2 linked regions of the Ovis aries genome follow. The protein of the gene in region 2 purifies or fractionates together with the protein of the main gene of each other region. This does not show direct contact. Links are inferred from orthologs where the notes say so. Each region holds a gene or a part of one and is shown on either strand. Other genes may lie near its edges. The genes, in order: CILK1 and KATNIP.

Evidence for each region.
Region 1: the proteins of KATNIP (region 2) and CILK1 purify together in Homo sapiens (affinity purification with mass spectrometry; 3 studies listed by BioGRID and IntAct, with this or other methods). This does not show direct contact. The link is inferred for Ovis aries from reciprocal best matches to the Homo sapiens genes KATNIP and CILK1.

Annotation. Positions count from the first base shown.
Region 1 is NC_056073.1:24,905,991-24,909,804, forward strand, and holds part of CILK1 (serine/threonine-protein kinase ICK), read right to left. Parts: intron 3,082-3,814; coding exon 2,770-3,081; intron 1,701-2,769; coding exon 1,510-1,700; intron 1,398-1,509; coding exon 1,249-1,397; intron 1-1,248.
Region 2 is NC_056077.1:25,834,605-25,838,418, forward strand, and holds part of KATNIP (katanin-interacting protein), read left to right. Parts: intron 1-1,385; coding exon 1,386-1,496; intron 1,497-2,291; coding exon 2,292-2,431; intron 2,432-3,814. UniProt on the Homo sapiens protein: May influence the stability of microtubules (MT), possibly through interaction with the MT-severing katanin complex.

The sequences.
Region 1 (3,814 bases), on a different chromosome or scaffold from region 2:
CGTCCTGTTGCTCATGAAATAAGATCCAAATTTCTTACAAGACCCCAAAGATGCCTCCTATGTCCTAACACATCCTCCACCTCTGACAGTGATCGGGCCATGCGGCCTCTCACGAGCCCAGCCCTTTCCTGCCCCCTGGCCTTTGCACTGGCTGCTCCCTCCGCCAGGCATGCTGTTCTCACATCCCTCTGCACATGGAGTTCCCTGCTAATCTCTGGGGCCCAGCTCCTGCCACCATTACATCACCCTTAACAACCGCTGTCACCACCTGCAACTACTGCGTACCCACTTATTCAGGGTCTGTCTCCCACCACTAGAATATATGAGGATGAGGATACTGTCTACAGGTTGCTGGCTAAAGTCACTGCATAGACTGTGATGTGAACAGAGACCCTGGAAAATGGGCAACCCAGTGGCCCCAGTTGGCTGTTTTGTCCACCATATTCTCAGCGCCTGGCACAAAATGATGTCAATACAGATTGACTGATGGAATGAATCTGTGAATGAACAGTGGGCTAATGCTATATGTTTAGAATACAGAGAACCTGGAGAGATGCTTGGGCACTCTCCAACTAGAGTGTCTTCACTTAACCCCTGTGGTACATTAAGCCAGATGGGGGCGCTAAGCTCCCATCTGGTTTCCTGAGAGCACTCAGGGCTGGAGAGACCCCAGGCGAGCTGCCTGGCTCTCCCTGGTTCCTCACTCACTCGGACTGGACCCCATTTCCTCTACCAAATTTCTTATCTTAGGCAAGAAAAGAATGGGAAGCCTGGGACTTCCCTGGCGGTCTAGTGGTTAGGACTCTGAGTTTCCACTGCAGAGGACACGGATTCCATCCCTGGTCAGGGAACTAAGATCCCACATGCAGCGAGGTGCAGCCAAAAAGAAAAAGAAAATATAAAGCCTGTGTGTACTAAGTGGCTTCAGTTGTGTCCATCTCTTTGTGGCCCTATGGACTATAGCCTGCCAGGCCCCTCTGTCCATGGGGTCCTCCAGGCCTGAATACTGAAGCCAGGTTGACTGTGCCCTCCTCCAGGGGATCTTTTCCATTCCAGGGATCGAACCCGTGTCTCTTACATCTCCTGCACTGGCAAGCGGATTCTTTACTACTAGCACCACCGGGGAAGCCCAGCAAATATTTCTATGGTGGTGCCACCACCGTCCAAAACAGAAGCTTTGCAAAACTCGAGATTCCGGGGACACGATTTCTCATCAGGGACCAGAGCACGGGCAGGAAGTGTTATTACCAGGCAGGTACCGAGAGTGCTTCAGGTAGTGTTGCTTGGCCGCCGACCTCAGGGTGGGCGTGTCGCGCCGGGGATAGGACGTCTGGGTGGGGGCGCTGTTTCCGGTGCCCACAGGCTCCGAGGGCTTCAGGTCCAGAATGCTCTCAAATCTGAACGGGGAGAAGAAGGTTCTGGTCAGCACAAGCTGGGCAGCGCATGGGATGTGAAGACAACCTCACAAACCCAGAGACAGTCAGTGCGCAGATGGGAGCCCACGCTTGCCTGCACAGCGTCTCGTCGCTCTGTCTCTTCTTATTTTTCAGGTCAATCCTGGTGAAGGATGGACTGAAGTCCGAGTCATCCAAGTCAGCCCAGTCATCGGAATCCTTCGTTGACCTGGAAACGAGACCCCACCTTCTCCTACTCTTTGGCTTGATCTCACCATTTTTGTGCTCCAGGCCAGTGAGAATTTTCTGTGTATACAAGGGGGTGGGGAGGTGGGGAGGAGAAGCGATACTTGGCATTAGTGAAGCTCACCCATGAGTAAGCCCCATTGTGAACTTCCTCGGTTGTGTAGAGGAGGGTCCTGGGGTGTAGTCTTCCCCAATATGCACTGCTTATTGGAAAAGGCAATGGTGTAAAACAGTCCCTGACCTCTCTCACTTATCCTGCACAGGTTACATCAGTTTCCATTCAATGGGGACACTAGGCTGTGTAAGTAACGCTTTAAAAAAGGACATTTAGGGTACTTCTTGCATACGAGGAAGGTAGCTGGATTCTCATCCAGGGCTCATCTCTGAAAGAGTTAGCATGATTGACACTGTCCTAAATAGAATATAAGAGAATGTAACTAAAGTGTCAATCACCTGCTCTTTTATAGAAAACAATGCAATTAATACCTTATTTGCCTTCTCAGCAGACCTGGATCCTATTTCACTACCGAATTAGCTACAATAGGAAATTTATAAACACACATTGCTGTTTTAGGTGGGTTGGGGTCAAGTGGACAGTCTGGAGACACCACCCCCATAATTCACAAGCAGAGCTAGAACCTGAATTTAGACCCTTAACTACAAAGCCAAGGCTCTTTCCACAGTTCCATGATATCAAAAAGACCAACCTATTATAATTAGACCTTACATGCTAAAAAGAAAATACTGCATGCAAGAAGTATGGTCAGGGCCTTCCCTGGGAGCTCGATGATGAAGAATCCGCCTGCCAATGCAGGCGACGTGGGTTGGGTCTCTGATCTGGGAAGATCCCACATGCCACAGAGCAGCTAAGCCGTGCGCCACAACTACTGAGCCTGAGCTCTAGAGCCTGGGAGCTGCAACTACTGAGCCGATGTGCCTAGAGACTGTGCTCTGCCAGAGAAGCGACTGCAGTGAGAAGCCCATGCGCGGCAACTAGAGAAAAGCCCACCCAAGCAGTGAAGACCCAGTACAGTCAAAATGAATCAACAAAATTATTAAAAGAAGAAGAAGAAGTGGGGTCAGCAAAGGAATAGCCAGACAGGGCTCCTGAGGGAACTGTCTTGCTTACTGCCTGAGGATGCTTGGGGTGGAGTGACGGCAAGAGCAAAGGGCTGGGCTTGTCCTCTGGTAGGTGGTCCGTCCTGGGAGCCTCGGCTTTATAGGGGTACACGAGATGCTGAGGGGGCTGGCTGGCTTGATGCTGTCTGGAAGAAATGCGTGTGTGGGGCTTGGCTGGGGGCTGGGCAGGAGGGACCGGCTTTATGTGAGGCGGTGCAGCTGCCTTTTCCAGAACGTCCTTCTGAGATTTTCCTGACTCCTGGAGGCTTTGCACGGTGCTGCCCAGGGGGTGCCCCACCTGGAAGTAAGGATATCGAAGAGCCTGGAATGACACATGAGGCTGTTTCAGAAGAATAATCTGACTGGGAAGGTTGACACCATTCAGGGTCACAGGCTAGCTTTCGCATTAACCAGTCTGCTGCAGTAGTTTGCCCAAACCAACTAGAAAACAGCATCCTGAATCTGTCACACCCCTTGCGATTCTCCTTGTCCTAAATAGTGTAAAATGTATGGACTGGCTGCCACACTCAAAATTATCTGGGTAAAGCAGCCAGGTTCACTGCTATGCCCTCTGCTACTTCTGCCAATATTCTGGCTTTGTAACTTATTTGCTCTGTGTCTTAAATACAATATTTCACCATTATAAGTCCATTTCTTCATTCCATAGAAAGAAGATAAATAAGATGGAGAGAGCCAACATAATGTTCCAAGAGGACTCTGAAAAATCAAATATAAAATAAGAAAATACAGCAGACAACAAAGGTTTGCTGTGTATCACAGGGAACTGTCTCCAGTATCTTGTAACAACCTGTCACGGAAAAGAATTGAGAAAAAAAATATGCAAAACTATCACTTTGCTGTATACCTGAAATTAACACAATACTGTAAATCAGCTATACTTTAATAAAAATAAAAATAAGCAGGTCCATCCGCTTTAACATCAGAAATGCCACGAGCGTCAAACATATTATAGTTAAACCTTGTCCATCAAGATAACTGTGCTTTCTGCATCACCAAGGAATAAATCGTAAAGTGCTGGGGTTTGCAATTCTCTC
Region 2 (3,814 bases):
AACCCAAGCCTCCCGAGTCTCCCGCATGGCAGGAGGGTTCTTTACTGCTGAGTCATCCAGGGACTCCTCCTCCTGCCGCCCACACGTCGCACATGGCAGGCCCTCGGGACCACACCCAGAACCCAGGGAGAGGGCCAGGCCCTTGTATCTCCTTGCCGGCCCTGGGGCGGGTTCTGGGCTTTAGCTGCGGCACTGGGTCTCAGCCAGGCCTCAGCAGAGGCAGCGGAGCCCATGCAGGGAAACTGCGGAGAGGTTAGGCAGGCTCCCAGGTCCTCAGGGAGACTGGTGCTTCTGGGACTGGGGGGCAACACGAGTTCTAGACCCCACCCCCCTGCTGGACTGAGGTTCAGAAGGCAGCACCAAGGACTGTCGGTGGGAACCCACCTGGGGATGGGGCTGGGGGCTCTCCTTGGAACCAGGTGGGGAGGAGGTGAAAAGGGAAGGAGTCATAGCTCAAACGTGCTGGACCCCTCCTGCCACCTGGCAGTGTTGGCAGTGGGTCACCTGTGTGAACCCTCTGTGTTAGCCCTGTGAGGTGGGCACTGCTAGCACCCCCATTTCACAGCAGAGAACACTGAGGCACAGAATGGTTAAGTAATTTGCTGGCTCACACAGCTGGGAAGAAGCAGAGTCAGGTCTAGTGAGCACAGCCAGCCTGGCACTCTCACTTGCCTGTTCTCCGGGCAGGACCACCTCTGACTTAACCCCCTCGGGATCACCCTCCCACTTCTCAGGCTCCTCGGCCTGCCTGCTCCTGGGGATGCTGGGAGCCAGTGGAGGGCAGGGCTGCGGAAGGGCTGGCACATGGGATGCAGTCAGCAGCAGGAGGGGGTCACCCTGGCACAGCCCATCCCCACGAAGCTGTGGCTCTCCCACAACCTGCCTTGCCGTTCATGCCCTCCACACTTGAAATGGGTGGAGGAGGGAACAGGTACTCTGTTCTTGTCATTTTACAACCAGGGAAACTGAGGCAGGAGGGGGTTTTTGAGGTCTGGTCACTGTTCAGTCCTCTACACTGAGTTTGTGACAGATGCTTCTCCATCCTGCCAGCTCCCTGAAGGTCACCCTCCCTGCCCGTTGCCCTGTCTCCCAGGGCCTGGAGAAAGCTTCTGAATTCTTCAAACACACATACACACATTCATATTGCTGTTTAAATGAAAGAAAATTTCATGCCACATACATTTTGATAGACTTCAGTCTCGGAGGGGGAAAAATCATTTTTTTCTCTCGTTCATCTCTATAAACCTCTCTCTCTATATATATATACACATATACACACACACACACACACACACACACATATATATATCCCTGTTATCTTTGTAATTATTTCCCTCTGTTCTCCAGAAAATTACGTCTGTTTTTTCCTTAATAACATGTTCCAGTCATTTTCCAGTTTCAGCTCCTGACCAGCTGGGGTGACCCCTATTACATCGGTCTTACCGGCCTGGAGCTATATGATGAAAGGGGAGAAAAAATCCCTCTGTCAGAGAACAGTATCCTTTCTAGGCAGAAGGGGGGCCCCAGCCAGACTGCAGGGAGCACGGGAGGGTCCGGAGGAAGGAGCAGAATCCTTGAATGTAGAGGGAAGTGTCCCTGAAGGAACCAGACCTGGAAAAAATGCCACGGCTGTCGCTGCTCAGTCACGTCAGTCGTGCTGATTCTTTGTGACCCCATGGGCTGTAGCCTGCCCGGCTCCTCTGTCCATGGAATTCTCCAGGCGAGAACACTGGAGTGGGTTGCCATGCCCTCCTCCAGGGGATCTTCCCAACTCAGGGATCGAACCCAGGTCTCCCACTTTACAGGCGGATTCCTGACCAGCTGAGCCGCCAGGGAAGCCTGTAAATATTGGGGTGGGTAGCCTCTCCCTTCTGCAGGGGGATCTTCCCAGCCTAGGGATTGAACCCAGGTCTCCTGCACTGCAGGCAGATTCTTTACCAGCTGAGCCGCTAGGGAAGCGCACCAAAGCGGCAGCAACCCCTTTCCACCTAACCCGTGTTTTCCAGCCTGCCCTCTGCATACTTCCCTCTCCTTTCCTTGAAACTGGCCACCCCTCCACTCTCACCCCCACTCCCCTCAGCCTCCTCACCTTCCTTTTCCCCCAGAACATGTCTAATTTGGCTGACACTCCTCCAGCCGCCCCGAGCAGCAGACAGCGGCTCAGCCCAACCCGGCATCCCCTGCCAGGCCACGCCATCCGCGTGATGGGGGCTGGCGGCCGCAAGAGGGGCCCACAGTGCCCGGGGCCGAACACACTGCTTTGGGTTATGACAGCTTAGAGGCATCCTCAGATATCGCCGCCTTCCCCGACAGCGTCAACTCCCTGGAGGGCGTGTGTGGGGACGTCCGGACCCCTGACAAGCTCATCGACCAAGTGAACAACACCAGCGACGGCAGACACATGTGGCTGGCCCCCATCCTGCCTGGCCTGGTGGGTTCCAGAGGCTCCCAGCCCTGGGGTGGATGGGGGTGGGGCTGGAAGGGGGGTGGTGTGTGTGGCACTTTCTGTCCCCAGTCTCAGCAACACATCTTCCTTCCAGGCCAAGTTAACCTTGAAACAAGTCAGAATGCCCGGGGGCTGCCAGGAAGGCTCAGGTGTTTGCTAACACATCTTCCCAGCCAGAGGTCTTTCCCTTTGCTCTGGGGGTGCTGATTATCAAGTGGGCCTCTGAGGCCAGGAGCCCAGCACAGCAGGCCTGGGGGTGTGGGTCCCTGTGAGCCTCCCTCTCCAGTTCTCTTTCCTCTCTGCTTCGCTCTGCTCTTCCCTCCAGCCCCAGCCTCTCCACATTCCTGATTTCTGCTCCTTCTTTGTGTCACCGGGTACGTGATCCCTACTTTGCCCTCTCTCTGTCCTCAGACCTGCCTGGTAAGCTCTTCCAACCCACCAACTCAGTCTCCCAGATCACAGACTCTACAAGTGGTCCCACCCATCTTTTTGCTCCAAAGCAAACCTGGGGGTGGGCCTTTGCTCATCTGGGCCTGGCCGATGGCGGTAGCAAGGGAGGTGAGGGACCACTCGGGATGGGATGGGGCGGATCGCAGCCCCCCAGCCTGTCAGCCACGGGCCCAGATGCCTAGGTAGATGTGAAGCAGGGGCTGGGGTGCCCACCCCTGTGACCCCTGGAAGGAAGACAAGGGATACATTCTCCTCTCAAAATCCTCCCAGGAAGGGGCAGCACCCCTGCGATATTCCGTCAGATTCCCTTGAGCAGAGGCTGACCCCTCCGGCCCAGCCCCACCACTGCAGACGGGAAATGCATAGATCTATCAGCCTTCACACCTGGGGCTGCAAACTGGTGGCCCCTAGCCAGTCTAGCCTTCGGCCATCTTGACCTTGACCTTCAAGCATTTGCCATTCTTTCACACGAAGACCTCTGGGTGTGGGGCAATCTCCCTGTCTGTCCCTCTCTCAGCTGGACTCAAATATTTGTATCCAGTTGAGTCCCATGGGCACTCACTTGGAGGCTCCTCATCTAAATAGTTTCCATGGTACAAGCAGAGAAGGCTGACCTTTCCCGTACCCCACTACATCCTCTTGGGGCTGAAACCCTGGGCCTGGGTCAAAGCTAAGCCTGCAGCCTATGGCCAACAGTGAATTCTATTTGCTTTATCCTATCTTGCAAGGGCTCCCCCACTAATATTTGAGAGTCTATGTTGGGGGTGGGGAGCTGGTGGGGGGCTCTTGGGTCCCACTTTACTAGCTGATTTTTGCCACTGATTGGAACACCGCCCCCCTCCTGCCCCCACTACCCCACACCAGAGGTTCAAAGATCTCTGCTGAAATTAACCAGCACCGCCTTCCTGGCCAGTCAGG